Linked DNA regions of Macaca mulatta. The protein of the gene in region 2 interacts with the protein of the main gene of each other region in a biochemical or structural test. Links are inferred from orthologs where the notes say so. Each region holds a gene or a part of one and is shown on either strand. Other genes may lie near its edges.

Evidence for each region.
Region 1: the proteins of EEA1 (region 2) and RAB5C form a complex in vitro, tested with the Homo sapiens proteins (2 studies listed by BioGRID and IntAct, with this or other methods). The link is inferred for Macaca mulatta from reciprocal best matches to the Homo sapiens genes EEA1 and RAB5C.
Region 3: the proteins of EEA1 (region 2) and RAB31 form a complex in vitro, tested with the Homo sapiens proteins (2 studies listed by BioGRID). The link is inferred for Macaca mulatta from reciprocal best matches to the Homo sapiens genes EEA1 and RAB31.

Annotation. Positions count from the first base shown.
Region 1 is NC_133421.1:66,489,785-66,500,492, reverse strand, and holds the start of RAB5C (ras-related protein Rab-5C), read left to right. Parts: upstream 1-4,786; 5' UTR 4,787-4,903; intron 4,904-10,708. Other genes in the region: voltage-gated delayed rectifier potassium channel KCNH4, read left to right, coding at 1-24. UniProt on the Homo sapiens protein: The small GTPases Rab are key regulators of intracellular membrane trafficking, from the formation of transport vesicles to their fusion with membranes.
Region 2 is NC_133416.1:100,135,460-100,145,431, reverse strand, and holds part of EEA1 (early endosome antigen 1), read left to right. Parts: intron 1-2,568; coding exon 2,569-2,907; intron 2,908-6,970; coding exon 6,971-7,120; intron 7,121-8,714; coding exon 8,715-8,834; intron 8,835-9,972. UniProt on the Homo sapiens protein: Binds phospholipid vesicles containing phosphatidylinositol 3-phosphate and participates in endosomal trafficking.
Region 3 is NC_133423.1:80,672,201-80,682,898, forward strand, and holds the start of RAB31 (ras-related protein Rab-31), read left to right. Parts: upstream 1-4,291; coding exon 4,292-4,330; coding exon of another isoform or gene 4,331-4,420; exon of another isoform or gene 4,421-7,220; intron 7,221-10,698. Other genes in the region: uncharacterized protein LOC114675567, read right to left, coding at 3,848-4,420. UniProt on the Homo sapiens protein: The small GTPases Rab are key regulators of intracellular membrane trafficking, from the formation of transport vesicles to their fusion with membranes.

The DNA.
Region 1 (10,708 bases), on a different chromosome or scaffold from region 2:
TCCAGGTCAGACACGTTCCACTGACCCTGGCCCAGGGCCCAGGCCTGTCTGGGGTGGGCATTGCCACTCACCACTCAGGGAGGACCTGGGCCCCTTGGCTTCCTGCCTTGGGGTCAGCAGCCACCAGCTGGCCTGGTTGGCTCTGGATTTCTGGACTTTTTAACCAAGCGTGGTTACCTCCGACGCTATTCCCTTTTCCAAGCCTTCCCCAACTTCCCCCTCTGTGAGGGGAGCCACCTGAGGGCTGTGGAACCCAGCAGGCATGAGATGAACCGCAGTGCCCATTGGGCTGGGCAGATGAGATCCTACTTTCTCCCCAGGACCTGGAGGCAGGTAGAGATGGGGGAGCAGAGGGGATGGGCAAGGGACCCAGCTCCAGCCTAGGACATGAAGGCAAGACCAGGCAGGATCTTAGCGTCTATAGCAAGAGACAGGTTGCAGGATTTTGCCTGAAGATAGCTTAGTGATATTGTGAGGTCTTCTGTCTCAGCCCCTGGGTCTCTGCTGAAGACCTTAAGAGCAATGTTACCTAGAGAGGGGTAGGTTTGAGATGCTGCTTGGAATTTGAGCAACCCACAATTTCTTAGGCCGCCCACCATGAGCCCAGGCTGGAGAGGCTCACCTCATCCCACAGCCCACACAGGAAACAAACGGATAGCTCCAGATATGTGCTCTTTGGCTCTCACAGCATTATTTTCAAAATATGAGCTAGTTCCAATATTAAAAATGAGATAGGGCCGGGTGCGGTGGCTCACGCCTATAATCCTAGCACTTTGGGTGGCTGAGGTGGGCGGATCACCTGAGGTCGGGAGTTCAAGACCAGCCTGACCAACATGCAGAAACCCCATCTCTACTAAAAATACAAAATTAGCTGGGCGTGGTAGTGCACGCCTGTAATCCCAGCTACTCGGGAGGCTGAGGCAGGAGAATCACTTGAACCCAGGAGGCGGAGGTTGCAGTGAGCCAAGATTGTACCACTGCACTCCAGCCTGGGCGACACAGCGAGACTCTGTCTCAAAAAAAAAAAGAAAGAGGTTATACAGGACTACAGATATTCCAGTTTCTCTTAAAAAAAGTAGCACTGGGCACAGTGGCTCATGCCTGTAATCCCTGTCCTTTGGGAGGCCGAGGTGGGAGGATCGCCTGAGCCCATGAGTTTGAGATCTGCCTTAGCAACATAATGAGACCCGATCTCTATAAAGAGATATATATATATATATGTTTGTTTTTTTTTTTTTCAGACGGAGTCTCGCTCTGTCGCCCAGGCTGGAGTGCAGTGGCACAATCTCAGCTTACTTCAAGCTCCGCCTCCCGGGTTCATGCCATTCTCCTTCCTCAGCCTCCCAAGTAGCTGGGACTACAGGCGCCCGCCACCACACCCGGCTAATTTTTTGTATTTTTAGTAGAGACGGGGTTTCACTGTGTTAACCAGGATGGTCTCGACCTCCTGACCTCATGATCCGCCCACCTCAGCCTCCCAAAGTGCTGGGATTACAAGTGTGAGCCACCATGCCCAGCCTAAAAAAGTATTTTTAAAATTAGCCAGGTGTAGGCTCAGCGTGGTGGCTCATGCCTGTAATCCCCGCACTTTTGGGAGGCCAAGGCGGGCAGATCACCTGAGGTCGGGAGTTTGAGACCAGCCTGGCCAACATGCAGAAACCCCGTCTCTACTAAAAATACAAAAATTAGCTGGGCATGGTGGTGCATGTCTGTAATCCCAGCTACTCGGGAGGCTGAGACAGGAGAATCCCTTGAACCCAGGAGGCGGAGGTTGCAGTGAGCCGAGATCGTGCCATTGCACTCAAGTCTGGGCAACAAGAGTGAAACTCCGCCTCAAAAATAAATAAATAAATAAATAAAAGCCAGGTGTAGTGGTGAGTGCCTGTGGTTCCAGCTACTCCAGAAGCTGAGGTGGGGGGATGACTTGAACCCACGAGTTCAAGACCAGCGTGGGGAACATAGCAAGACACCCCCCCCGCCCATCTCTATAAAAATAAAAAGATTAGCCAGGTGTAGTGGTGTGTGCCTATGATCCCAGCTACTCTGGAGGCTGAGGTGGGAGGATCACCTGAGCCCAGGAGGTTGAAGCTGCAGTGAGCAGTGATCACACCACTGCACTCCAGCCTGGGTGACAGAGTGAGACCCTGTCTCAAACAAACAAACAAAAAAACCTCAGGACATCTGGCTACCATGGGCCAACATTCCATCTGGCAATAATTGGCAATCAGCTGGGGCTGGGTGGCCACTGTCCTCTTTACATGGGATCTGCTCTGCACTCTGCTTCGCTGTCACACGTTTCTTGATCATCTCCCGACACCCGGCTAGCTTCCCTTGTTTGAAATTTTTGTCTGGTCTCTGTGGGTATTTGAGTTCCCAAAACTTGAGTGTCCATCAGAACTACCTGAGATCCTATTAAAATGCAGATTCTGCCAGGCGCGGAGGCTCAAAAAAATAAAAAAATAAAAAGCAGATTGCTGGGCCTCACCCAATTTGGAATGTCAGGGGTGGAGCCCAAGGGTTGAGTGTGCAACCCGTGCCTTACCTAACAGTGTGTTCCCAGGTCCCTGTGCCCAACAGGTGCTTTTTGGGCCCAGTAATGTCTGCTTCTACTCCTAGGCGTGGGTCTGTCACCATCTGTGTTTCTGTCTCTCCGCAGGCTGTCTCTCAAGGTGGTCTCTTGTGCTGCTAGCAACTCAAAAATCCCAACAGCACTCCCTATCCTTCCCCTGACCCCAGACCGCTGCCAAGCCTGTTCTCCCCCATTACAACATGGTCTCACTCAGGGCCTGGACTGCTCCAAAACTCACCCAGGTCTCCAGCTCTCCTCTACCACCCACCACCCTGGGCTCACTTTTGGATAGGAAATAAACTCTTTATTTTTGTAGTTGTTGGCTCTGGGTGTTTCTGGGGGTTAGTCTGAGAGCCCCAGGGCTTTGGAGGAGCCAACACAGCAATCATTCCCCACCCTCACCCCCGCTGCACCCCAGAGCCCTGTTGCTATCTTTAGGAAGGGCAGAGGCACCAGCCAATCTACTTGGCACCACATTCACACCACCAGGGGCCCCAGGGATGAGGGAAAAACTTAATTAGTCACTATGGGCCTATTATACCCGCTTCTCTCCCCTGCACACCAGTCACAGCCATATACACACACAGTATGTGGAAAGGATAGAGTCCTGACTTTGGCCCACCTCCAGCCTTGGAAAGGTGGGCCCAGGGGACTACCCATCCCTCCCATATAAGGAACTGTTCAAGAGCTGGGTATGGCAAGGGGGCTGGGGGAAGAGCTTGTCACCAGCCAGAACCTGCTAGGAATCCCTCTCTGCCCCATCCCCTCTGTCCTCCCAACAAGCCCTCTCTTCCCTCTTCCTTTTCACTTCTCATGATCACTGGCGTGGAAGGGGGTCTTGTGTGTTACGGACGTAAGAAAGAGACGCCCTGGTGACTAGATGGAACTAGATGTGGGCACAGTTTTGTGGCAGGTTGTCCAAGGCAGGTAAATTCTCCAGCTGAGGCTCCAAGATATGTCTGGTGTTGGCCAGTGTTAGAGGCACAGTGGCCACAGCTGTCCCCGGTGAGCTTTGATTCCACACAGGTTTTCAGTAGTGTCCCTGGAGGGTGAGATGCAAAAGAAGAGGAGGTACTGGTCTGTGTTGAGAGGTAAGGGTGGGAGGAATCAGGAGCGGGCCCCATCCATATTGAGACGAGTAGAAGAAACAAATATTCCTGATCCACATGGGGGGGTGCAGAGTGGGGGTGGTTCTAGTCTTTATTTGCGGATGGAGAGGGCCCAGGCAGAGATTGTCCAGCTCTGTATTCCGTGTCAGAGAGAAGAGCTGACCCTGGCTGGGAGCAGGGGAAGGCAGAGGCAGAGATGGTCTTTGTGCCGGCCCCCTGCACCAAGTAGGAGGTGGTGGCAGAAGCTCTCCGTTTGATCTCACCCAGCATCCTGTAGAGAACCCTTCCTACAGCGCTTTCATCGCCTTCCCCATCACAGACGCCCCCAGCAATCGGGCTTCCCAAGCTGACTTGGCCGGAAAGTGCAGACAGGGGCTTCTCCAGATCGGCAAGTTCGAAGGACTGAGGCCTCGCATGCATATTCATTCGCACCATGTTTCTTCTTTCCCAATTCTGCACACATAGTCCTCTGCCTTCTTCCAACGCTCCACCACCCGCCTTCCCTCGGGGCGTCCGGAACCGGCGGTGACCGGGTGGCAGGCTTGGCCTCAAAAAGTTCCCGGCCATAGGCTGGGCGCAGTGGCTCAGGCCTGTAATCTCAGCACTTTGAGAGGCCGAAGAGGGCGGATCACCTGAGGTCAGGAGTTCGAGACTAGCCTGGCCAACATGGTGAAACCCCGTCTCTACTAAAAATACAAAAATTAGCCGGGCGTGGTGGTGCGTGCCTGTAATCCCAGCTACTCGGGAGGCTGAGGCAGGAGAATTGCTTGAACCCGGGAGTCGGAGGTTGCAGTGAGCCGAGATCGCGCCACTGCAATCCAGCCTGGGCGACAGAGTGAGACTCCGTCTCAAAAAAAATAAAAAGTTCCCGGCCGGGCTCGGCCTTGTAGTCAGCCGGCTCCAGCCTAAGCCCAAGTCCCAGGCAGCCACGGACTCCTCCCATCGCCACGAACTACAAGTCCCGCCATCCCTCGCGCGCGCCCTCCCGCCACTCCCGCGTTCCTACCGGCGCCGCTGGGTAGGTCGGCCAAGAGTGCCTCCCATTGGTTTCTCCGCCCTGTCAATCACCAGGGAGTATTGAGGGGCGGGGCGGAGGTAGAGATCCGGATCCGGAGCGGCTGAAAGACGGAAGTGGAGGCCGGAGCCTGGGACACCGCCGGGGGGGGAGAGAAGCAGAGCCCGTCCGAGCCCCGGCCCCAAGTAACGCCGCCGCCCCGGAGCCGCCGTGAGTATTCCTGTCCCAGGACCTGGTGTCTCGCCTGCGTTGAAGCATCTCCAGGGCAGCCCTTCCTCCCGCCCAGCCCCAGTTTAGGGGGATACTGACCCCTCCCCCGACCCGTAGCCCCCTCTTGAGGGGTTCCCCAGGCGTCGGGCCGCAGGAGATGGGGAGCTTCTTTCCTTAGCTTACCTACCTTTCGTGAGCCTTAAGGAAATCGCTATGACTGTCCTCTGGCCTGTCCATTCCAGTTGTGGGAGAGAGGTGCCTAAGTTCCGCTCCCCCTGCTCCCAGAATCGGAGGATCTTTGCCAGGTGTGAAGGAACCTGTCCCTCTTCTCTTTTAGAAGTGACGGAGAGTGCTGTCTGTCGCCGTTTTCCTTCCTGCTGTCCCACAAAACCAGTTGTCCCCTCCAGCCCTAGAGGAATATCTCGATTTCCTTTGGGGGAGGGGGTCGTCTGGGTGAGACCGTTCCACACGCACAGAAGTGTGTTGGCGCTCCCGCAACTCCTTACTTCCTCTCTTTCCTCAAGCCAGAGAACCATCCAGGACCTCAGCAGAGTTTAAAGTTTGGGTCACTTACTGGCAATGAGCTGTTTTCTTGCTTTGCCCCTTCTGTCTCCCAGCCCCTGTTCTCTAGTTATGTTGTTCTCTGAGTGTCTCTCTCTTCCTGACTCTGAAGAATTTAGCTGAGGTTTGCTCAATTCCAGCTATAAATCACAGATCAGGGTGGATGTGCCCATTCATTATCTTCTTTCCCCTCCCCCCTTGCTCCAGGCTCAGCTCTGTCCTCCCACAGCACGTGAGTGGTTTCCAAGCCGCCTCAAAGGGACTGCTGCTTTTGGGACTGCTGTCCGTGTGTCTATAGGGAGGAGAATGAGACCCAAAATGAGGAGTCTGGAATTGAAGGGCTATCTCTTTCTCACTCCCAAACACACACACACACCCCACGCTGAGCAACAGGTCCATGGCACGCCAGGGTCTGTCTCCAGTCCCTTCTGGGCTTGGACTTATTACTGAGGACTAAGTCAAGATCACAATGGCAGTTCAGGATTTTTAACTGTAGCCCAAGGAATTCCCATACATGCCAGAAAGTGCAGGTTCCCTCAAGCATATTGACTATGATCCTTGTCTGTTGCTTGGGGCTTTGGTGTGTGAAATAGCTGCTGTCTCAGACCAAGCTTTGTTATGTGGCCAAAGTACAGGCCGGAGACTGTGCCTTAATGAGGAGTAGCCTGGCTCTGAGGCCATGACCGATCCTTGCTATCTACAGTGAAGGAAGGGACAGAAAACCATGCAGTTTGTGGGAACTTCTGTAGCACTTCAGTGTTCTGGGCTACCTTTACCACCCTTGCGTGCCACTTAAAAGTGCTGTCTTTTGACCTTGAGGTGTGTTTGAGTGCTTCTGGACAGCGGCTAGTGTCTGATTCCTACATTCTTTTGAGTAGACCTAGGATGTACTTATTTCACTTTTTTGTTTGTTTATTTTCTTTTTTTTTTTTTTTTTTTTTTTTTTTGAGACGGAGTCTCGCTCTGTCACCCAGGCTGGAGTGCGGTGGCCGGATCTCAGCTCACTGCAAGCTCCGCCTCCCGGGTTCACGCCATTCTCCTGCCTCAGCCTCCCGAGTAGCTGGGACTACAGGCGCCCGCCACCTCGCCCGGCTAGTTTTTTGTATTTTTTAGTAGAGACGGGGTTTCACCGTGTTAGCCAGGATGGTCTCGATCTCCTGACCTCGTGATCCGCCTGTCTCGGCCTCCCAAAGTGCTGGGATTACAGGCGTGAGCCACCGCGCCCGGCCTGTTTGTTTATTTTCGAGATGGAGTCTTGCTCTATCCTCCAGGCTAGAGGAGTGCAGTGGCGTGATCCCGGCTCACTGCAACCTCTGCCTCCTGGGTTCAAGTGATTCTCCTGCCTCAGCCTCCCAAGTGTCTGGGATTAACAGGCATCCACCACCACGCCCTACTAATTTTTGTATTTTTAGTAGAGAAGGCGTGTCACCATGTTGGCCAGGCTGGTCTTGAACTCCTGACTTCAGGTGATCCACCCGCCTCAGCCCCCCAAAGTGCTGGGATTACAGGTGTGAGTCACTGTGTGCGGCCTACTTACTTCACTTTTTATTGGACAACAGAAGAAGCCTTCGTTATTAGGGTCAACAGCTGGATCACAAGCTCTGTATCTGTGTGGGTTCCTTTGGGGCTCATTGGAGACTTCTTCAGCCAATCTAGTTTCTCTGATCTGGTCAGCCTGGGTATCTGAGCGGCAGGGCCAGAGAGGCCTGACTGCTCACTGGCCATTGGTCTCTGACCAGACTTAGGTCTTCAGGAGTAGAACGTAGTTTGTCACTCTTCATGAGTGCTGGGATGAGGCCGACCAGGCTTCTGAGGAGATCTTCTTTCCTTTATCTGGACATGGTCTCCCAGCTCTGACTCTGAAATGAATTTTTTTTTTTTTTTTAGACAGAGCTTTGTTTGTCGCCCAGGCTGGAGTGCAGTGGCGCAGTCTTGGCTCACTGCAGCCTCCGCCTCCTGAGATCAAGGGATTCTCCTGCCTCAGCCTCCTAAGTAGCTGGGATTATAGGCATGTGCCACCATGCCCAGCTAATTTTTGTATTTTTAGTAGCAGCAGAGTTTCACCATGTTGGTCAGGCTGGTCTGGAACTCCTGACCTCAGGTGATCCACCCACCTCAGCCTCCCAAAGTGCTAGGATTACAGGTGTGAGCCACCACACCCGACCTGAAATGACTTTTGAAGGGGAAGCTCTGCCATTTAGAGAGACGAGGAAGGCCTCAGTGCTTTGGGTAGTTATGCAGCCACTTCTGGCATCCAGAAATTATAGAGTCCAAGGAGAGGTCTCACTCTGCCTAGCAGAAAGAGCGATGGCTCCATGTGCGCCAGAAACCCTTCCTTTCTGATGCTGTTCCTCTCCTGCCCTCTTGCCTCTCACAATTAGTGGACTGTTAAACTGTAGAGGGGCCGTAACACTAAGTTTTTAAAAATCATTTTAAAGTTGCAAAGTTATTTTCATACATATTCCTCATAGGTGCCCTGGGAAATACTGGGATTTGTTTCCCCACTTTGTTTTTAATTTTTATTATTACTTTTTTTTTTTTTGAGTAAGATAAGGCAAATATGTGTCCCTGCTTTAGAGGGGATGCAGAAGGAACTTAAGTAGTTTGCCTGAGATCATACATTTAGAAAGTGGTAGAGCTAGGGCTTGGATTTGGGGTCAGATGTGGCCTGATCTTCTAACAGTGGGCCCTTCTTCCGCCTGGTTTGTTTGTTAAATGAATGAACATGCAGGGTGAGCGCGCCGTGGCACAAGGGCAGACTCTTAACCCTTTAGCCCTCCTCATCACTGGCGCTCCTCTGTTTTCGTTTTCTTCACCAACCTCTACCCAACCTCCTGTCTTCTCTCTTGACCCCCTTCTCCTCTGCCTGTGAGGACCAAGACAGTTAGAAGTCCCAAGTCAGTACTCTTCAGGGCCTGAGAGTTTGCTGACATCTACGTGTCATTAATTTTTTGGGGAACCTGAAAGTCTTAATGGCTAGAAAATGAAAGTCAAAGCGAGTGAACTCAGGGGTCCCACTGGGCAGGGTTAAGGGGGAAGCAGCAGAGCGGGCCTCTGGTTAGTCCTCTGTTTCCCCTGTGCTGCTGCCTGCTGCTTACAAGTGGGAAGAATGCAGCTTGCCACCAGGAGCTCCTGTCACTAGAATTTACATGGAAACAGAGCAAGATCACACATTTAAATTCAGCCCCACCAAGCAAGTACTTCTCAGACCTTCTACTTTTTTTTTTTTTTTTGAGGCGGAATCTCGCTCTGTCGCCAGGCTGGAGTGCAGTGGCGCAATCTTGGCTCACTGCAAGCTCCGCCTCCCAGGTTCATGCCGTTCTCCTGCCTCAGCCTCCCCAGTAGCTGGGACTACAGGTGTCCGCCACCATTCTCGGCTAATTTTTTTGTATTTTTAGTAGAGATGGAGTTTCACCATGTTAGCCAGGATGGTCTCGATCTCCTGACCTTGTGATCCGCCCGCCTCGGCCTCCCAAAGTGCTGGGATTACAGGTGTGAGCCACTGCACCCAGCCAGACCTTCTGCTTCTAGCCCTTGCCCAGTAAACAGGCCGTGTGGTCAGGTGGAAGGCACCAGAACTTCAGAGGCAATTGGACCTGAGTTCTAATCCTGATTTCCCCACTTACCAGTTGTGTGACCTTGGGCTTGTTACTTGACCTCACTGAGCCTATGTTTCTTCTGGTAAAATGGCAACGCTAAATACCTTGCAGAATTAGAAACAAAGAAAGGAGCTAGTCGAGTGCTGGCACAGACTAGATCCCCACAAAACAGCAGTTGCCTCTGATTGGTAGGTAAGGGTTTGAAGGTTCTTTTTTTTTTTTTTTTTTTTTTTTGAGACAGTCTCATTCTGTCGCCCAGGCTCACTGCAACCTCTGCCTCCTAGGTTCGAGTGATTCTCCTGCCTCAGCCTCCTGAGTAGCTGGGATTATAGGCACCCGCCATCATGCCTGGCTGATTTTTTTTTGTATTTTTGTAGAGACGGGGTTTGACCACGTCGACTAGGCTGGTCTCAAACTCCTGACCTCAGGTGAGGTGATCTGCCTGCCTCATTGGCCTCCCAAAGTGCTGGGATTAGAAGCATGAGCCACCGTGCCTGGCCAATTTTTTTTTTTTTTTTTTTTGAGACGGAGTTTCACTCTTGTCTCCCAGGCTGGAGTGCAATGGTGCAATCTTGGCTCACTGCAACCTCTACCTCCTGGGCTCCAGCTATTCTCCTGCCTCAGCCTCCTGAGTAGCTGGGATTACAGGCGTGTGCCACCATGCCAGGCTAATTTTGGTATTTTTAGTAGAGACAGGGTTTCTCCATGTTGGCCAGGCTGGTCTTGAATTCCTGACCTCAGGTAATTGTGCCTAGCCCTCAACACTGATTCTGATTCAACATGTGTACCAAATGTATGCTGAGGCAGGACACAGCAACTCATGCCTGTAATCCCAGCAGTTCGGGAGGATCACTTGATCCCAGGAGTTCAAGACCAGCCTGGAGGCCAGGGGTGGTGGATCACGCCTATAATCCTAGCACTTTGGAAGACTGAGGCAGGCAAATCACCTGAAGTCAGGAGTTCGAGACCAACCTGGCCAACATGGTGAAACCCCATTTCTACTAAAAATACCAAAATTAGTCAGGCGTGGTGGCACATGCCTGTAATCCCAGCTACTCAGGAGGCTGAGGCAGGAACCTGGGAGGCACTTGAACATGGGAAGCGGATGTTGCAGTGAGCTGAGACTGCAGCACTGCACTCCAGCCTAGGCAACAGACCAAGACTCTACCTCAAAAAAAAAAGAAAGAAAGAAAGGAAAAAGACCAGCCTGGGCAGCATAATGAGACCCCATCTCTAAAACGAAAACAAAATGTTTGCTGGGATGCCTTGTACGTTGCTTGATGGTTTCACAAATTGTCTCATTTCGTAGACATTGAACAGAATTGATGTGAGTTGTATTCCAATTTTACAGAAGAGAATGCTGTGCCACTTCAGTCTTACTCAGTTATAAGTGTTTTAATATTAAAACAGTCCTGGAACTATTATAGATTGGAATGCAAAGTTTGCATGAATTGAAGCTAACACAGGAAACTTTCATTAATTAATTAATTAATTTATTTATTTATTTTTGAGACAGGACCTCTCTCACCCAGGCTGGAATGCAGTGGTATGATCACGGCTTACTTCGGCCTTGACCTCCTGGTGCCAAGTGATCCTCCCACCTCAGCCTCCTGAGTAGCTGGGACTATAGGCATGTACCACCATG
Region 2 (9,972 bases):
TTTTTGCCTTTTAAAGAGTGAAACTATCAGCCGGACACAGTGGCTCACACCTGTAATTCCAGCACTTTGGTAGGCCGAGGCAGGTGGATCACAAGATCAGGAGATCAAGACCAGCCTGGCCAACATGGTGAAACCCTGTCTCTACTAAAAATACAAAAAATTGGCCGGGTGTGGTGGCGGGCCCCTGTAGTCTCAGCTACTTGGGAGACTGAGGCAGGAGAATGGCGTGAACCCGGGAGATGGAGCTTGCAGTGAACCGAGATGGTGCCACTGCACTCCAACCTGGGTGCTAGAGCTAGACTCGGTCTCAAAAAAAAAAAAAAAAAGAAAAAAAAGTGAAACTATCTCAAGGGTGTATAGAAATGGTGGGATTAGTTGGTTACTTTCTAAGTAAGTCTGTGAGGAAGAAGACTCTAACTCATTATGAGCCTTAATTTTTGTAGCATATTTTAAAAGGTATGTTCCACCCAAGTTCTCAGTGTGTATGAACATGGTTGCATTTATGAAATTCAGTAACTTAGAATTCTCTTTAAAAAAGATTATTTATAGATTAATAAATAGACTTAATTTGCTTACAAACTCTAAAACAAATGTTGTTTTCCTAAATAAAGGTAGAATTATGTCAAGAAAAATTTGGAATTACAAAGAAATTTTTATAAAAAGACAATTTTTCTAACATATAGTTGAATCAGAAGTGTTATTTTTTTCTGTAATTTTCTTGGCTTTGTGTCTTTTTTTCTGTTTTTGTTGCTTGGTCAAGGCACACATCTTTTAGCTAATTTTGCTGTAAACTTAGTGTTTGCTCTTCTTACTTTTAAGTCTGTCTGTCATCCTCTCTTATACATATTCTTTTTTTTTCTTGTTTTTGTGACAGGGTCTTGCTCTTGTTGCCCAGGCTGGAGTGCAGTGGCGTGATCTTAGCTCACTGCAGCCTTTAACTCTTGGGCCCAAGCATACCTCCTGCTTTAGCCTCTCAAGTAGTTAGGTCATACCGCCATGCCTGGCTAATTTTTTTTTCTTTTGTTAGAGATAGGGTCTTGCTGTATTGCCCAGGCTGATCTTTAACTCTTGACCTCAAGTAATCTTTCTGTCTCAGCCTTACAGAGTGCTGGGATTACAGCTGTGAGCTGCTGCACCTGGCCTCTGTTATATATACTTTTATCATCTTTCCGGACACTGCTTTTCCGTAGTATATTCCTGTTTGATAATTAACATTAGCTTATTTTTTCTTAGACAAATGTTCGAGAACCTTTATTCCTGCGTTTCCCATGTTGGGGAATGCAACAATAAAGATCTATTATCTATTATCCCCTGTCAGATAATAGGGTTTTGCTGTCACCCCACCTGAAACTTGTTTGCCTTTTCCTTCGTGTCTTATACATTTATATAGAGCAGATGGCATGTATCATGTGTATGTATTACATGATTTTTCCCATCGCTTTTGAAACCAGGCTCAAACTTCATGGTATTTAGATGATCTTACTAGTTAGCTCCCCTTGACTTTGCTCATTTTTTAAAAAAACTGTGCCTTAAGAAATTTGACATACTTTTCTATTAGTCAATTCTGACTCGTGCATTATGTTTTAACTTTCTTAGAAAGGTTTTTTTTGTTGTTGTTGTTGTTTTGTTGTGTGATTTCATTTAGAGTATATTCTGTTTAAGGTATGAAGGCTTTGATTGGTCTCTCCTATTTCAGTATCATCCCCTTCCAGCACACTGCATATTAGTTTGTACACTAAAGGTCCACTAACTGACTCACCAGGTACTTACAATAGCTTCTTATCCTGGCTGGATGTCTTACAGAATTTAGTTAAAATTCTGATCCATATTTTATGCTTAAATATGTTTACTTTAAAGTTTAGTGTTAATTTTTACAACCCCACTGAGACTAGGCTTTGACATTAGATTAGGTTGGTTGTTCCAGGTCTTTGATTAGAAGTGTTATTTTTATGTTTTATACTTGATAGCATTGAGTAAAATGACAAAATTTAAGGCAGGTGTGTGATAGCTTTAGATCATTTTTTAATACACCTAGAAAAAAATTTGAATTAGTCTTAGCTTGTGACTCTAAAACTTGGTCTTTAACAAGAAGAGCATAAAACGATGCAATCAATAGGTTAGGTGCATTATAACAGTGGATGATACTGCTGCGCTAAAGCTCTTACCAACTATGAAACTGCACAGTGAAAAATCAAATTTTGCATAGTATATTGTTACTCAAAATAATTTGTTGGTAGAAAGGTAGTTTCAATTTTTAACTCAAATGGAAGAATATAAATATGTCACATACCCTTAAAAATCCAGTAGATTTTATTATTTTTATTTTATGTCAACACTTGCTTGGAAATTCTTAAGTTGTATTAGTAGAGTTTAGTCAAGTGGACCAATACTGAAATCACGAATTAGTATGTAATGATTTAATTCTTGACTAGAACATTGTCACTGTTTTATATTTTAATATTGACTAAAATGTATACTAGGAGACAGTACTGCTCCAAAGATTGTTCGAATAATTGGAGTAATTTAAAATATTAGAAAAGGAAATAAATTGTTAAATTGATATTTTAGACGTTGACAGAGAACTTGCTGAAAAAAGAACAAGACTATACTAAGTTAGAGGAGAAACATAATGAAGAATCTGTGAGTAAAAAGAATATTCAGGCAACCCTTCATCAAAAAGACCTAGATTGTCAGCAGCTTCAGTCAAGATTGTCTGTATCTGAAACCTCACTGCATAGAATACATGCAGAACTAAGTGAAAAAGGAGAAGCTACTCAAAAGCTCAAAGAAGAATTATCTGAGGTAGAGACCAAGTACCAGCATCTAAAGGCGGAGTTTAAGCAGCTACAACAACAGAGAGAAGAAAAAGAGCAGCATGGGTTACAACTCCAAAGTGAAATTAATCAAGTAAGAGCTGTTAATTTTATTTATTGTAATTCTCCCTCTGGTTTCTTCTTCATGTTCTTGATGGTTATTTGATCATAATATAGTTCATGTTGAAAAAATATTGTCATTTTAAAAGATTAACTCTTAACTTTTATATCCTGTAGTGTTGTCAGATCTCATTTCTTTTAATTTCCGTTTCCCTTAAGAAAAAAAATTATAATATCTATTTTACAGCTTTGTGGGGAATTGTTTATGAATTGATATTATAAATTGCTTAGGATGGTACCTGGGGCATGTAGGTACTCACAAGGTTTTAGCTATTATAATTAATTTAAATTGTTGACCATTCTTTCATTTGAAATTTTTTTGTTACAAAATTTTAAAAGCATCATTATTATAAAACAAGCAGCATACAGATTATTTTTTTAAAATCATGTGTTTTAGGGAAAATTTTTTTTGAAAATAAATAAAAATTAGATATTTCATAGAAAGTAAATCAGCCCTAATGCTGCAGCTATTTTCTATAGGTAAATAATACATGAATTACATATATATAGAATATATAATATATATTGTATATTTATGAATATAATATATATTATATATTTATGAATATAAATATATATTTATATAGTGTATATATATACAATATATCATATGATATTCATGTCATATATTGATATATATAATTCATATATTATTTACCTATATGGCTTATATTTTGAACTATATTATTTACCTATACAAAAGTATTTTGTATAGGTTAGTCTAGCTTAAAGGCACAAAGTATTTTGTATAGGTTAATAATATAGTGGCTATCAGATGAAGTTTAATACAAGTTTTGACTTTGCCATTAACTTAATTTTTTGCCTGTGTTCTAATTATTGCGTTAGGTAACATTGAAAATTGGTTGAAAATGGAAATTGGGGGATATTCAAGTCTTCAGCTACTTTTTTGATAATGTTCAGCTGTTTTTCTAAAATGGCAGTGATACTTTATTTTACTATAATTAATAATTTTCATGGCTTTCTATCCTTTAGTAATAATAATAATAATGATTATGTTAGTAATTTAATGAGCTTCAGTTATATTTCAGAAATTAGAGTAAGCACTTCACATATGCTAATACTAATTTTTGAGTTTGGACTGTGAGTTCCATGATACAGTGAATCAGAAGAGTTAAAAATATTTCTGTAACATGTGTTCTCCTTCCCTGTTTCTGCTAGCCCTGTCCTCCTTGTTTCACTCTTAAACCACTCTAACAACTGCAAACTAATCTGCCTTCCTACTTGCCCCTGACAAACTGATCCTTTATATAGGCATCAGAGTAATCTATATTAAAGGCAAATCTTACCATGTTCCAACCATGCTTTAAGCCCATTAATAACTCTTTATGACCTAATGGATTAAGTTGAGGTCTCTTGTTGTAACATGCAGTATCCATACTGGTCTTGTTGGCCTTCCTCCTCAGCAATTTACCCTTCTTTTCCTTATTCTTCACTGCAAGAATACGGAAGTGTCTTTAGTTTTTTCCTATATGTTGTGCTGTGTCTTGCTTTTGTTGTATCATTCAGTCTGCCTTCTTGACCTGAAATATTCTTTTCATTCTTCTTCACCTTGATAGATACTATTTACTTCACTTGTCACTTTTTATAATTTTTTTTTAAAGAACAAGATCATGTTCTTTATAGCAACATGGATGGAGTTGGAGGCCATTGTCCTAAGTGAACTAATATAGGAACAGAAAATCAAATACCACATGTTCTCTCTTAAAAGTGGAAGCTAAATATTAAGTACATATGGACACAAAGAAGGGAACAACAGATGGCCAGGCCTGCTTGAGGGTGGAAGGTGGGAGGAGGGTGAGGACCGAAAAACTACCTATTGGGTACTGTGTTTATTACCTAGGTAATGAAATAACCTGTACACCAAACCTCTGTGACATGTAATTTACCTATATAACAAACCTGCACATGTACCCCTGAACCTAAAATAGAAGTTAAAGATTTGAAAAAATTTAAGAAATACATTTAGAGGGTACAAGTGCAGATTTCTTGCATGTATATATTATGTAATGGTGAAGTCTGGACTGTTAGTGTACCCATTGCCCATATAGTAACCATTGTACCCAACAGGTAATTTTTCAACCCTCACTCGCCCCCCTCCCAGCACTCTCCCTAGAAATCCTTTCTAAACATGCCACTGCTTCCCCACACTCAAGATAGCTTAAGCATGTACATATCTTTAATATTTTACTTATACCATAATATAGTTTATCATAATTTATGTCTTTCTTTACTAGACTCTGAACTCTTTGGGTGCAAAGACCATGTCTTATTCATTTTTTATTTTTACTACCTGGCATTTTACTTGGTTTTTTTTTGTTGTTGTTGTTTTGTTTGTTTTTTTTTGAAGACAGAGTTTCACTTTGTCACCCAAGCTGGAGTGCAGTGGCATGATCTCGGCTCATTACAGCCTCCATCTTCCGGGTCCAAGCAGTTCTCATGCCTCAGCCTCCTGAGTAGCTGGGACTTCAGGCATATGCTACCACACCCAACTGATTTTTTGTGTTTTAGTAGATACGGGGTTTCACCACATTGCCCAGGCTGGTCTCGAACTCCTGAGCTCAGGCAATCCACCTTCCTCAGCCTCCCAAAGTGCTAGGATTACAATTGTGTGCCACCGTGTCCACTCAGCATTTTGATTGTTAATCTGCTTATGTTTTAGTGAGTGAATGAATGAATAAATGTAAGCATTCATAATGGAAGGAAACTGAGCCATGGCGATATCAATGAATAACTTAAACTAACTTACATATTTGAGTTTTAGTTCAGATAAACAAATTTAGCATTTTTGCTTTCTTTTTTCCTTTTTCTTTTTCTTTTTTGAGATGGAATCTCGCTTTGTCTCTGCTGGAGTGCAGTGGCAAGATTTCAGCTCACTGCAACCTCCGCTTCCCGGATTCAAGCCATTCTCCTGCCTCAGCCTCCTGAGTAGCTGGGATTACAGGCATAAGCCACTGTGCCTGGCAGCATTTATGCTTTCTAAAAGACACATGCCTCATTTACTAGGGGATACAGAAATGAATAAGAAACAGTACCTACTTTTAATAATTATGTAAATCTTAGGGGAGGATAAGGCAAGTACTATAGATCATACTAAAGATTATGAGAATTATAATAAAAGGATTCCATATATTATGGGAAATTGGAAGAGTTTCTTTCTTCTGTTCCCCCCTGTAGTACTTCAGCTGTTGTAATTTTTTATCCAATTATGTGATCAGGAAATCTTTGTATTAGGGAGAGGTGGTACTTGGAATTGGGAATATCAGATAGGTTTTGACAGGTGGCAGTTTGAAAGCAGATGTGTCTTCCAGCCAGAGGGATTAGTGAGAGCAAACTAGTGGCAGGAAAGTGTTGTAAGAGGCAGGAAGGGACACTGATTTCCTGTTAGGATAGAGTATGTATAACTGGGGTGGACTACTCATGATGGTTCTTAACTGCCTTAGTTTTAATTGGGTGGCATTTGTAAAGTTAATGAATGAAGGTCACTATATATATATATGATCATTTCCTCTATTTTATTTAGAAATTATGTGCCAATATGAGGACTTGGGAATGCACTGGGCAGTATCCAATACCCAAATATAAAACGTTAACTCTAGTAGTTCTTGGCTATGGAAAACCAACAAGAATCACTGTGGAATTTTAAACAATACTGTAGAATAGATCTGAGTGTGTACTAAGTGTCTTAATTTTTAAGTTGTATTTTATTCTTTTAAGTTTCTGAAAATTCCAACACTTATCTCCGAACAAGAGCCTGCATTTGTTTTAAGAGAGCAGTAACATAACACAAAAACAAAAATTGTGATGTTTAACCATAATTGTATGTGATTCATTATAATATATGATTAAAATTCAGTTGCAGTTAAAATTACTATATAAAATCTTAGGTTTCCCCAAAGTATCATGAAAATTAAGATATTGTACTTATTTTGGTGAAAGGTAAAACATTGTTTGGAAAGTAGGTGGTCGTGTGTGTGTGTTTATACATATGTACATACATTTTTTTTCTTTTTTTAAAGTTACATAGCAAACTTCTGGAGACAGAGCGCCAACTAGGGGAAGCTCATGGTAGGCTAAAGGAACAAAGACAGCTTTCAAGTGAAAAGTTGATGGATAAAGAACAACAAGTGGCTGATTTACAACTCAAACTTTCTCGGTTAGAAGAGCAGGTAAGCTAGCATTTATTGATAGGCTTGAGGTATCTTTAACATGATTATGATTCATCAATCTGTTAATTGTCAGAGCTTTAATTGGACTTTAAGTAAAGTGCAAATTTATTACTCTCCAGTAGCAACATCCTGCTTATTAACTACATTAAGTCATTTTGTTGTAATTGTATTTCCTAAAGTTCTCAACAAAAATGCACAAAGAAAACTTACTCTTTCAGCTTTAGGCAGGAAAAATACTGGGGGCGAACCCATCAGGCTGCTAGAGTCTTCCTACTCAGGAAGGACTACTTCCTAATGAAACAGTAAACTATGAATTGTTGGTAAATTCATTAATGACATGTAGTTGGTATATATAAACTTTGAGTTTCCACTTAAGGATTTTTGCTTTTAAAAATTAAGCATGTATTTGAATGCTGTCCCTCATTAGACTTGCAGTTGCTATAAATGATGCCTGTAATATAAAGTAAAAGTTACTAAATTACATCTTTATTGCAATTAAACACATTATTTTTTAGTTTTAAGTTTTTAATTTTTAATTTAATTTTATTTGTTTTTGAGACAGGGTCTCACTCTGTCACCCTGGCTGGAGTGTAGTGGCACAATCTCGGCTCACTGCAACATCCGCCTCTTGGGTTCAAGCAATTATCCCGCCTCAGTCTCCCCAGTAGGGACTACAGATGTGCGCCACTACGCCTGGCTAATATTTGTATTTTTTGGTAGAGATGGAGTTTTACCATGTTGACCAGGCTGGTCTTGAACTCCTGACCTCAAGTGATTTGCCTGCCTCAGCCTCCCAAGGTGCTGAGATTACGGGTGTGAGCCACCATGCCTGGCCGGAATTAAACACATATTCTACAATAAAATCTGCAGCTTCAGCAATAGATTTTCTTCTAGACCTAAAATCTTAGATGTGGTAAATGATCGTATTCTTTTCCAATAAGTGATAATTACAACTATTAAGAAAAAAAATAAAAGAAATACTGATATGTGGTTTAAATTATTGTTACAAATTTATATGTAATTCCTTGATCATACTAGTTTACAAAAAAATTAATAAACTAAATGCCAGCCTGGAGAAAGTTCTTTTAGGATAAGCCTATTTATAGAAAATAGTTTCTTTAACATGAGATTAAGATTCTATAAGTAATGAGGTACTGCTTTTTTTTTTTTTTTTTTGTCGTCCAGGCTGGAGTGCAGTGGTGCAATCTCGGCTCACTGTGACCTCTGCCTCTCGGGTTCAAGTGATTCTCCTGCCTCAGCCTCCCGAGTAGCTGGGACTACAGGTGCCTGCCACCACACCTGGCTAATTTTTGTAGTTTTTTTTTCTTTTTTTAGTAGAGATGGGGTTTCACCATATTGGCCAGGCTGGTTTTGAACTCCTGACCTTGTAATCTACCCGCCTTGTCCTCCCAAAGTGTTGGGATTACAGGTGTAAGCCACTGTGCCCAGCCAAGGTGCCACTGTTAAAGTTTATCTTATATATTACCTGAATTTATTGTTCTGTTCAGACTTCAGAATTGAAGTAATGCCAGATACTTATGAATGATAGCATTATGCCTTTAAGTTCTCAATTGACAATCTGCGTTTTTTTAAGTTGAAGGAAAAAGTTACAAATTCTACAGAATTGCAGCATCAATTAGATAAAACAAAGCAACAGCATCAAGAACAACAGGCTCTTCAGCAAAGCACCACGGCAAAACTTCGAGAAGCTCAGGTAAACATTAGTTGCGTTATTAGCCTTGTAAACAAAAATTAATTACCATTACATAGAATATAAGAGAAAAAATAAAATTAATTAATCCAAATCATTATCCTTTTGTTGTGGTAAAACTAGAAAATACAAAATACTTGATTGTGAGGGATTTTGATAATTTTGAAGTCTGGATAATCAGAAAATTCTTTTTCTTTTGATTACTATGTTGAAACGTTTTTCCAACTTAGTGTAAAATATTAATTATAAACAGATTTATTATGTATTTATTACATTTTATATATTAATTTAATTAAATTTATTAGATTTATCTATTAAATGTGTTTAGTTAAATAAATTTATTTAAATTACTTATAAATAATTTATTCATTATTGTTTCTTATTGATTAAAATACAATATTTGGAAAATCAAAAATGTTCGAATAAAATTTTCTGGCATCGTTAGCCCAGTAAGGAAGAATATTTTGTATTTCCTTCAGTAGAATTTAGTATTTGTTGGTCATTTCTTTTCCTGCTTTATAACCATCATCTGAACATTGGAATTGTAGGTGTAGAAAATATAATTGTTTGGGTTAAATTTATACAAAGTCTGCAGCGTAGCTTAGAATACTGAAAGAAGTTTTCATTTTGTTATGGTAAGGGGAGATTGTCCAAATATTGAAATTAATTTGACTTTGATATGTTTTAATTATTATTATTATTTTTTTTTTTTTTTTGAGGCCAAGTCTCACTGTTTCGCCCAGGCTGGAGCTGGAGTGCAGTGGCGCTATCTCTGCTCACTGCAAGCTCCGCCACCCAGGTTCACACCGTTCTCCTGCCTCAGCCTCCCGAGTAGCTGGGACTGCAGGCGCCCGCCACTGCACCCTGCTAATTTTTTGTGTTTTTAGTGGAGACGGGGTTTCACCAGGATGGTCTCGATCTCCTGACCTCGTGATCCGCCCGCCTCTGCCTCCCAAAGTGCTGGGATTACAGACGTGATCCACCGTGCCCGGCGTTTCACTGTGCTCAGCACTGTGAATAGACAGAGTGCTTGCCCTCTAGGAGATGGCAATCTAATGACATGTATGTAGAAACAATATTGTAGTTTGAGGGAGGCAATAAATAATATGCCCTTTTCTTCTGAGCTTGGAGAGTGGCCTGG
Region 3 (10,698 bases), on a different chromosome or scaffold from region 2:
AATTTCTCAGTTTTACAAGTAAGCAATGAAAATGAACAGGACTGATTGAATTACATGTTACTTAGGGCTTTTGGGAGGTGGTCACAGCTGAATCAATCCATTTACCTTCCATGGGAGGTGTTAATATATATCTTATTGCTTATTTTCTTTTAACCCAACACTTTAAGCTCAGCCAGAGATCCAAGGGACGGTGGAGGTTGCTGGGCAGGAGTGTCAGTAAAGAGGCCAGTGAGATGCTGAAGATGGCTTAAGCTGCCCAGTGCTAGCACTCAGGAATCTGAAAAATTTAAACACTATCACCTGACACCAATCCTTTGTGAGGTCCCAACAGAGCGTTCCTTGTCTTCAGCGAGAGCTGTCTACTTGTTCTGGAACACTTCTGAGCGCTCCCATTCGAGACGATGGAGACGATGAGGAGGTGAGCCCCCACCCTCCCCGTCTCCCATCTAAGATGTCACCACACTTTCCACAGGAAGAAGACATCTGGAGTTGCAAAAGGAGGATGTGCAGTTTCTATCCGCTTACCTAATAGCCCCTCCACCGAGCAGCCACGTTCCTTGGGGTTCTCAGGAACACTCCCCTTCCCACAGACAGAGGCTGTTTCCAGCCTTCACCCACCAGCTACTGTCTCCTTTTTCTTTTTCTTTTTTTTTTTTTTTGAGACGGAGTCTTGCTCTGTAGCCCGGGCTGGAGTGCAGTGGCCGGATCTCAGCTCACTGCAAGCTCCGCCTCCCGGGTTCACGCCATTCTCCTGCCTCAGCCTACGGAGTAGCTGGGACTGCAGGCGCCCGCCACCTCGCCCGGCTAGTTTTTTGTATTTTTAGTAGAGACGGGGTTTCACCGTGTTAGCCAGGATGGTCTCGATCTCCTGACCTCGTGATCCGCCCGTCTCGGCCTCCCAAAGTGCTGGGATTACAGGCTTGAGCCACCGCGCCCGGCCCTGTCTCCTTTTTCAAGTCTGTGGGTGAACTGTGGGGTCCACTCACCTCTGTTTTTCTAAGTCCCTCAAATCCCTTTCCTACCCTGGTATGTCCAGGATTCATCTCCTCAAAATTGTTTCAAGGGCGCGAGTTATAAATAAGATTACGTAGCACATGCTATTTAGAAAGTTTCAGAAAGAGAAGGAAAGAAGGAAGGAAGAAGGAAGGAAGGAGTTGTTACGTAAATGAGAAATACTGAAAGGCTGTTTAACTGATATTGCAGACACTATAGTTCCATAAAAAAGATAAATTATGAAAAACAAGGGTTGTAAACACTTTTATTTTTCCTTAATTGACTCTTGAGCAGACCAGATGACTCAGTACTGGTCTCCAGGGATCAGCCTGTGCTCCAGGGCGTTGTAACACATTTATATTACTTATCCTATTTAACATTTTGAGTCATATCATTTTCACAGAACCTTATTTACTATAAACGTCTCATAAATCTACATAGTATACACATTTCATTTAATATCTAAGTAACATATACTATTGTACACCATTAAATACACCCAGTAAAGACACCCTAGTTTGCTTAATCATTCCTCAAATGTTAAGAGATTTGAGTTACAATTAATGCAACAATCCTCCCTTTACCTCCATGGAGATAATTTTTTTGTTGTTCTCTAACCCATTTATTTGTTTCTTTGTCTGCATATGTGTTTATACTCAAACCGGCAGCTTTGTTTACTCTTCGTCTTTGTATGTTAATGTTCAACAAAAGATTTCCTGAATCAAAAAACATGGTCAGTTTTATGACCATTCCTGGCTTTTGCTGTTGGAGACTTCATAGCAGCAGAGAAGGGGAGGTCTGAATTAGCACATGACCATTTACGCTACAAAATTCTCATAAGAAAAACTTGCATGTTCTATTTCTTAATTTGATAAATTGTCAGTTATGTACCATCGAATTTTTATCCCTGCTGAAGCTATACCCGAACTCCATATTTGCAGGGAATTCCAGAGGAGTCAGGATGGGCCCTCAGTGCAGTAATCATAGAGTGTAACAATAGAGAACATGGCACTTTTTTAAAAAGTCGAGGGCTACCTCTGACCTGTCACTCCTGAAATATGTCTCCTAGCAGTCATCTTCCTGCCTTCCTGGGCTAGAGCTTTATAGGTTACCTTAGAGTGATCATGGGGACCTGGTTTTCATGAGGCCATGTTTAAGTTCAGGGGTGACCTGGCTGGGGAGAGGGTATAAACCCACGAACACAGGCCAGTTGACAGACTAGGATTGCCACTTTGTAAAGAAGAGCCCAAGGCCTGATCAGAATGAGACACAAATGAGGTCATTTTTAATAGAGCTAGGGGTGGGGAGAAGGACAAATGGACTGGGGCAATTCTCAGGGAGGGAAGGGCTGGATAGGGGACTATTTTGGGAGAGCCTAGAAACCACACAAGCGTCCCAGGCACCCGGGCTAGCGGACAGGAGAGCGGAATGAGAGCAGTCATGAAAAAGGGTAAGGGAACACAAGAGAAATTCGGTTTGCTTATTTTTGTCTGGGCACAGTTTTGCCCTTAGCAACCTAAGGCAATTTCACAAAACTCCACTCAGTGCACAGGATGTAGAACACGGCGGAGGCTTCCACTGTGGTTTGACTGGCTTTTGGGAATCGCGCTGGAAAGCCAAAAGGACACGTTTCAGTGTGGACATCCAAGTCTTAGTGGGTGTCCTGAGGGCAGGCGAAGGCCTTGGGGGAGGTGTCTTTGCAACTGCGTAGCGGTGGTTTTCTGATTAGCAAATCTGAGGGCAGGGAGATACTGTGATCAGGACTGTTTGATTCTGGGCAAGCCTCTTTTCACCCTGCCCACACAGAAGACTCTGCTTTGGATACAAAGTCAAGGACAGATACTGACACAATGGACCTGTAACTTGTGCATGGCTGCCTTTTGAACAATTTAGTCCATTTGAGGAACCTCCACAAGCCTGCACTTCCAGGGCAAAGTTCCTGCTCTTCTGGGGAATTTAATTGTGAATTGTCTGTTTTGGGGCCCATTTTGACTCCAGTATTCCAGGACTTACCTCTTTGGAGGCCTTGATTTGGAATTTCCCATTGGATGGGGTTACTTGGGTATGGGGTAGCTTCAACCTGGCTTCTGTAAGAACAAAGCCAGATGATCACGGTGGGTGGTCTGCTAGGAGAATGGAAATGCCATTGATTAAAATTGAAAGGTTTGGAGAGAGGCCTGAGAGTTTGGGATAGGAGATGAAGTTTTAAAAATATCAGTTTTTTAAAAAAACACTTCCCATCTGAAATGCCAGTGAATTGTCCAGATAGATTACACTGAAAAGGCTGACATTTCTGTAGCAGCCACGAATGAAGTCATCTGAGTGGATGAGGTGCTCTAGGCCATACATGGAGAAGAAAGAGAACACAATTACCCAGGCCTCCCGTGACTGCGTGCGGCCACAGCCTCTGCTCATTTCCTAGTTAGGAAGGATGCGGGGGTCTGCTGGGATCTCCACGTTTCTACCTGTACTTCTGAGGACTGGGTTTCTGCCCACACCAGTTGCAGGATTTGCTCTACTGAGAAAGAGCTTTGCTCCAGAATGCAAGTTTCCTGTTTCAGACACGGACAGCCAGTTTTGCTTCTAGAATCATTTTCAGCTACATACAGAAAAATGAACTTGGCTGAGCTGAAGAGCCACGCGTATGTTAAACGGCAGCTCGGGTATTAGGAACGCCGCGAAGGCAGGCCGAAAAGTCAACCCCCTTCTCCTCACCCCTGTCCTCACAGCGGCCCCTTCAGTGGCCTGACTTTTTCTGCCCGGGACCCAGAATGTCGCTTGAGGATGGGACTAACCCGCAGACCTGCAAGCGCTGCCACGCAAACGGCCTCGGCCAGAGCAGCCGCTTCTCAGCTCAGAATGGCATCTCCAGGGACCCTCTGGCAGTGGGGCCAGGTCTCCACCGGGCCGGTCCCGTCCTTCCTACCCGGGCCCTGCGGCCAGGCGGGGCCGGGAGCGGCGGATGCGGGAGGGCGCCGGGGGAGCCCGGCTCGCGCGGGGCTGGTCCGAGGGCGGAGGCAACCCGCCGGCGACGCCGCAGGTCCCGGGTGGCTGACGCCGTCCGGGGGCGTTCCTGGGAGCTGGGGGCCGGCGAGGCTGGACCCGACGCGCCCGGGAGGAGCCGGCCGGCGGCCACGTGACCCAGCGCGGCGGGGCCGGCGGCCCAGAAATAGCAGCGGCGGCGGTTCCGCCCGCGGGCGGCGCGAGCGAGGAGCCGAGGCGGGAGAAGCCGGCAGGGCGCGGGCGCGGCGGCCCCGGAGGATGCTGCTGAGCCCCGGCCCTGCCCGGCCGCGAGCACATGATGGCTATACGGGAGCTCAAAGTGTGCCTTCTCGGGGTGAGTCCTGGCCGCCCCCCGCCGCGGACCCCGGCCGGCGCCCCCGCGCCCCTTCGCTCCCCTGGTCCCCGCGCGCTCAGACCCCGCCATCCCCTCGCTCTCCGCTCTCCTCTCGCAGCTTCCGTCCCCCTCGTCCGCGCGCCCGCTGGTTCCCCGGGTCCCCCTCGCTCCCCCAGTCCGTGCGCCCCTCGCTCTCCGCACCCCCTCTTGTTCCCCGCCGCCCCCTCGTCCGTGCGCCCCTCCGGTCCGCCCCCGTCTCACCCTGCCGGGGTCCGGGGCCGAGCCTGCCCCGGGCTTTTTCTGCTCTTTCCTCCCGGCCCGCGAGTCCCCGGATCCGCGGCGGCCTCGCGGGGACCCCCGGCGGGGACGGGGCAGTGGCTGCGAGTCTGGGGCCCCGAGGGCTTTCTCCTCCGCCTTTGATAGTTTCCTTCCGGCAGAAAGTTTAAGTTGCTCAGCCAAGTCGCTGAGGACTCTTTTGCCTCCTGGGGCAATTGATTGTTCACTTAAAACACAAAAATAAAACCAAACGCGAGCCCAGCCAAGGGGGTGAAAGCCGAGGGCGCGGCCGGGGTGGAAGGTGAGGCGGTGACCTGTGCGGAGCGCGCCCTGCAAACTTCCCTGCTGCGGATGAAAGCAGCAGGCTGGGAAAGTCCTCCCCACCACCACTTCTCCTAAAGTGGGGCTTTCTCAGCCCGAAGAAGCCTTAAAGCCGCCAGAAACAAAGAGGCAGTCAATCCTTGCGGTCAGGGGACTGCAGACCGGAGACCCGGCCAGGACGCAGGGAGCCGCTGGCGAACCGCCCCTGAGAATTCAGATAAACGTAGGGTCGCTTCCTTTCGGGGGCCCACATCGCATTCCAGAATTCCTTCTTCTAAAAGAAGAGCTGGTTCTAAGGGCGTTTTCAGCAGCCTTTGGCATCTGGTGTACCCGCCCATGTCACTGGCAAAGCTGGTCTCATGAAAACCATTTCCTAAAAAAGAGCAGCGAAAGAGTCGCATTCTTGTGCGAACTGGTCTGTCAAGATGGGGATACAAGAACTGTAGAAAGAGGAAATGATTTCGGTGAGGACTGAACTGTGCCAGCGTCTCTAGGCTTCCTCTAGGCTCTTCTGGAACCTCTGGCAGAACCTTGTTCTGTCCACCGGCTCCCATCACTGGCCTCTGCCAAAACCATCCCTTACCTTAACTCGATTGTCTGGTTGGCCTAGAATTCCAGAGGATCTGGGAAGGCCCTGCCCTCCCTGGTAGGCCCTGGCACAGATCCCCACCTCCCCCGACTTGGTCAGCCACATCCAGGATCTAGCCTGGTCCTTTCCCTGTTGACCTTTTTGTGTGTCTGGAGTGGGTTTTCCTGTTCCCCAGGCCCTCTAATATTTCCAGACGTGAATTCCAGGAATCCCGTGCGTCCCTCTTGAGGGGCCATTTCAGCCTCAGGAAAGGCCTTCAGAGACTTAGAAGGAATGTCGTGTTCCAAGGAATGAAGGGGCAGCCTTGATGTGCGCTGTGTTTGTCAGGATTGGCTTTGGGAAAAATGAAATAAGACATGTTTTTGCCTTTTTTTTCTTAAACTCTTTCTCTTCACTTTTACTGAGGTGGTCCAAGCCCTGCCCTATCACAGGACCCCTTATTTTCAATTTCGGCATTTAGGGACAGGTCTCTATATCCTCCTACCAGGACACTGATCAGGTGGCAAGAACCCTGTGTCAGGAGGCAGGAAACCCAGGCTCTCATTCTTTCCCACCAACGAGCTGTGTCGCTTTAGCAAAGCAACTCAGCGGCCTCATCTATGAAATGGGCATAATAACATGTTCCCCCTTAAGGCAGAGGACTATACCAGATGATCTCCTAAGATACATGCTACCATTTCAGGGTGGCAATTAGCAAACCTGGGAGAGGAGGAAGGTGGAGGAAATCTCTTTACTTCTTTTATCTCCAAGAATGATACACACTCTTTGAGTGGCTTCCTGCAGACAGTGCCTTACCTTTGCCAGTTGTGTGTGTAGGAAATTGAACTTGGAGTTGGAAGAACCATGCCAAAGCAGAGAAAGAATAGGTTTCTGGGCAGACGGAGGCTTTGAAACATCAATCGTGGCTGGTCGCAGTGGCTCACACCTGTAATCCCAGCACTTTGGGAGGCTGAGGTGGGGGGATCATTTGAGGTCAGGAGTTCAAGACCAGCCTGGCCAACATGATGAAACCTGTCTCTACTAAAAATACAAAAAATAACCGAGTGGTAGTGGTTTGTGCTTGTAATCCCAGCTACTTGGGAGGCTGAGCTAGGAGAATCGCTTGAGCCTGGAGGTGGAGGTTGCAGTGAGCTGAAATCGTGCCACTGCACTCCAGTCTGGGCGACAGAGTGAGACCCTATCTGAAAAAAAAAAAAAAAAAAAAAGAAACATCAATCATATCACACCACATCTGTGGCTTCCTTTTTTTTTGAGGGTGGCTGTAAGTTTCAGTTTTATTGAAATCAGAGAACATTTTATTTGAAAAGCCAAATGATCTTATTGTCCACACTGAGTAAGATTTGCCACATCCCCTGGTTTGGCTGGCTCTTTCCCCGGTGAGATGTGTGCAGCAGGCTGTGTTTCTAGCTGCTCATCCAATTAGGCTGGTTCTCTGGGTGGGATAACATTTGAGGTAGATCAAAGCCATTTAACTGTCTTCGGTTTACTCTCTTCTCTCTCTCTCTCTTTTTTTATTTGTTTTGAGACAAGGTCACGTTCTGTCACTCAGGCTGGAGTACAGTGGTGCCATCATAGCTCACTGCACCCTCCAACTCCTGGGCTCAGTGGATCCTTCTGCATCGGCTTAGGTTTATTCTCTTGATTCCAGAGACCCTGTGGATCAGTTAGTGCTAAGTCCAAAAGTCCTTAAAAAAATATGTATATTTTTGAGATAGAGTCTCACTCTGTTGCCCAGGCCGGAGTGCAATGGTGCCATCATGGCTCACTGCAGCCTCAACCTCCCAAGCTCAGGTGATCCTCCCACCTCAGCCTCCCAAGTAGCTGGGACCATAGGTGTGCACCACCCACCCAGCTAATACTTTTTATTATTTTTGTAGAGATGGGGTCTCCCTGTGTTGCGCAGGCTCTTTCAACATTTTAACAGGAATTGGGCTCGTTTGTTCTTTGCATAGGGAGGTCTGTCTTTTCTGGGTGAAGTTTTATGTGTTGCCGGCACTCAGCTTCCTGTTTTTTAGCCATGAGACACCTCCCTGAAGTCTTGGTATGACCAAGACCCCGACAGCCACACCTTCTTTCTCCCTGTTAGAATCACTGTCTGTTGGGTTTCCCTTAGAAGGTGACAGAGAACATAGACTTCGTAACAAAATCTCACTGTCACTGGGAAGGCTGAGGGGTTGGTCTTTTTGTGCCTGGTCCTGTGCTCAGTGAGGACGTGGGGACATGCTTCCCATATAAGGTATAGGTTGTTTTAGGCATGGGCAGTGGGAACTTTCAGCAGAGGCTCCCTACTGGTCACTGTTTGCTGTAGTTTCCTGCTCCATCCATGGGGTCGGAGGTCTTACCTCCTGACATTAGAGTCATTTGCAGCAGGTGGGAGTGAAAGTGGGCCGGTGCCAGGTCTTCTTCACCTGAACTTCATCTGTTTTCCTGGCATGCTAGGAATGTTCGAGCTTATTTCTTTTGGTGAATGCTCCCACATGGGATGGACAATGGCCTGTGGAACATTCTCTGAATGCTTTGTGTTCTTGGAAGACCAAGGACTGGAGAGCACTGGGTTTGTTTAGGTTACCTCTTATAAATTCTTGGCTCGCATCTCATGTGTGGACTTTCTCGGGTTCATTCCACATGGGGACAGCCCAGCAAGCCTTTGTGAATGCCCTTTCCTGGCCTGAGCCCAGTCACCTGTGGAAGTCAGCCTTGCAGGAGGGTGTGCTTGATGGGGGAAGCACCCTGGGCAGGACCCTATAAGCTTCCTTCTTACCAGGAAAGTGTCATTCATCCCACTTTGTGATCTGAACCGGTGTTATGAAACATGAAGCTTAAAGGCAACACCCTTTAAAACAGCAAAGTATGTTAACAACAACAACAAAAAAAACCTAACAAAAACAACACTGAGGCAGCAGCTGCTTCAACCCCAAAGGTGGAAAGTTTCCCAGTATGCATTTTTAACACACATCACCACGTGGCAAGAAGCAGGAGGAAGGCAGAGAGTGGGGAGGAGGAGAAAGAGAAGGAGGGGACCTTTGTTTTGTTATTTCCTTGGGGTATTTGTGCGCGTGCACTTAAAAACTGCTTCCTGATGGAATCCCAAAGAGATTTATATTTGGACTTTGGTTGTCTTGACAACAATTTAGAAATTTCTACCACTTCCTCAATAGCTGAGTGATCAGTTAAAAGAGCCGATGGCTTCCCTGCTTCTGGTAAGGAGCTTGTTGAAGCATCTCCTTGTGATCTTGGAATCTATATGGTGGCTCATCAAAGAGCAGTCAAATACCTGGGATTTGGTGAGACATCTGGGTAATGGGGACTTTATCTATGTCCAAGGCCTTCACATGGGCCTCTTGTCTCCCCAGGGACAGTAGGATGCAAAAGAAGAACAGATTTATATTCATGGTAAGGCAGATCATCAGAACTGCGCAACCTCACATGAGTTGCTTTGAGCGCTATATGAGAGAGTATCCAATAAGGTGATAAGAATTTGTTAGTGTTACTGTGGAAGGAAGGAATGCATAGGATAGTGGGTTGGGCTGGGTAATGATCACATTTGTTTTCCGAGTCTGAGATTCTAGTAACTTACTATTTTTTTTTCCCCCAGAGACTGGCATTTCTTGGGGAGGTGGGATGGTGAGGAGGGTGGAGTGGCTAGCCACAGCATTTATTTCTTGGCACAACTGATTCCTCTATTAAATTGAAGCATTTGTGGAAAGTATGTTCAGCATTGGTGACTCTGGGTAGCTTCTATGTTACATGAGAATAAATATGATATAGTGGGGTATCTTCCCAGCAGTGCCTGGTGTATGGTAACACTGTATCTAATGCACTTATCCCAGGCTGATGGAATCCATCAGGGTCCCTTTGTTCCTCCTTTGTTCAGGGTCAACATTGCTGCTTTCATCCTCCCTCAGCTTTCAGAGCTCAGTGCGTCTCTGGAGTGTGTATCAGAATCATCTGAGGAGCATTTTCAAGCTTCTCATGGTCCTTTTCCCCATCCCTTGTGTCTTAATTTGAGCTGCTGTCACAAAAATACCATAGGCTGGAGGGCTTAAACAATAGACATTTAATTCTCACGGTTCTGGAGGTTGGGAAGTCTAAGACCAAGGTGCTGGCCGATCTAGTGTCTGGTGAGGGCTCGATTTCTGGTTTGCAGACAGCTGCCTTCTTGCTGTAACTTCACATGACTGAGAGAGTGCTCGGTCTCCTTCTCTTCTCATAAGGACACCAACCCCATTCATGAAGGCTCTACCCTCACAACCTAAGCACCTCCCAAATCCTAATATCCTCACTTTGGAGGTTAGGCTTCAAAATGTGAATTTTGGTGGAGGGACACAAACATTAATTCTGTAGTACCTTGTCAGTTGCTTTCAGGCATGTGGCCTCTACTTTTGCCCTGGCCCAATGACACTGTTTTAATGAGCGTGATATATCCCTTAAGTCTGCTCTAAGGCCATAGCCATGAGAAAATAGGAAACTTTACATTTTAAGATGCTAGGACAGTGGTTCCCAACCTTTTTGCCACCAGGGATCAGTTTCATGGAAGACGATTTTTCCACAGATTGGAGCAGAAGGCAGGGGATGGTTTTAGGATGAGACTGTTCCACGTCAGATCATCAGGCATTAGTTAGATTCTCCTAAGGAGCATGCAACCTAGATCCCTCACATGCGCAGTTCACAACAGGGTTTGCACTCCTGTGAGAATCTAATGCCACCATTGCTCTGACAGGAGGCAGAGCTCAGCTGGTAATGCTCACTCACTCTTCACCTCCTGCTGTGCAACCTGCTTCCTAACAGGCCATGGGCCAGTACCACCCCAGGGGCTGGGAACCTCTGTGCTAGAGCGCAAAAGATTTTGAGTCACTAATTGGAAAAGACCTTTAAAATTTAATTAAGCCTGGTAGATAACACTTATTTGGTGTGTGCATGCCTGTGCCGATTTTATACTTTCATTTATCTTAGTTTTTATCATTTATGATATGTGTTTGAAAATGGAATAGGTATTCATTCATTCAGCCATTCACCATTCATGGAGTGTTTCTTTCATGCTGGGAGCTGTGGGTGGCCACATGTAGACAGGCTGGCAGTGATTGCTGCCTTCCCAAGGACACGAACACACCAGCAGTGAGCTCTGTGGCAGTGACTGGATTCTGATTATGGTGCTTACCATGGCCCACCATACAGACCAGAA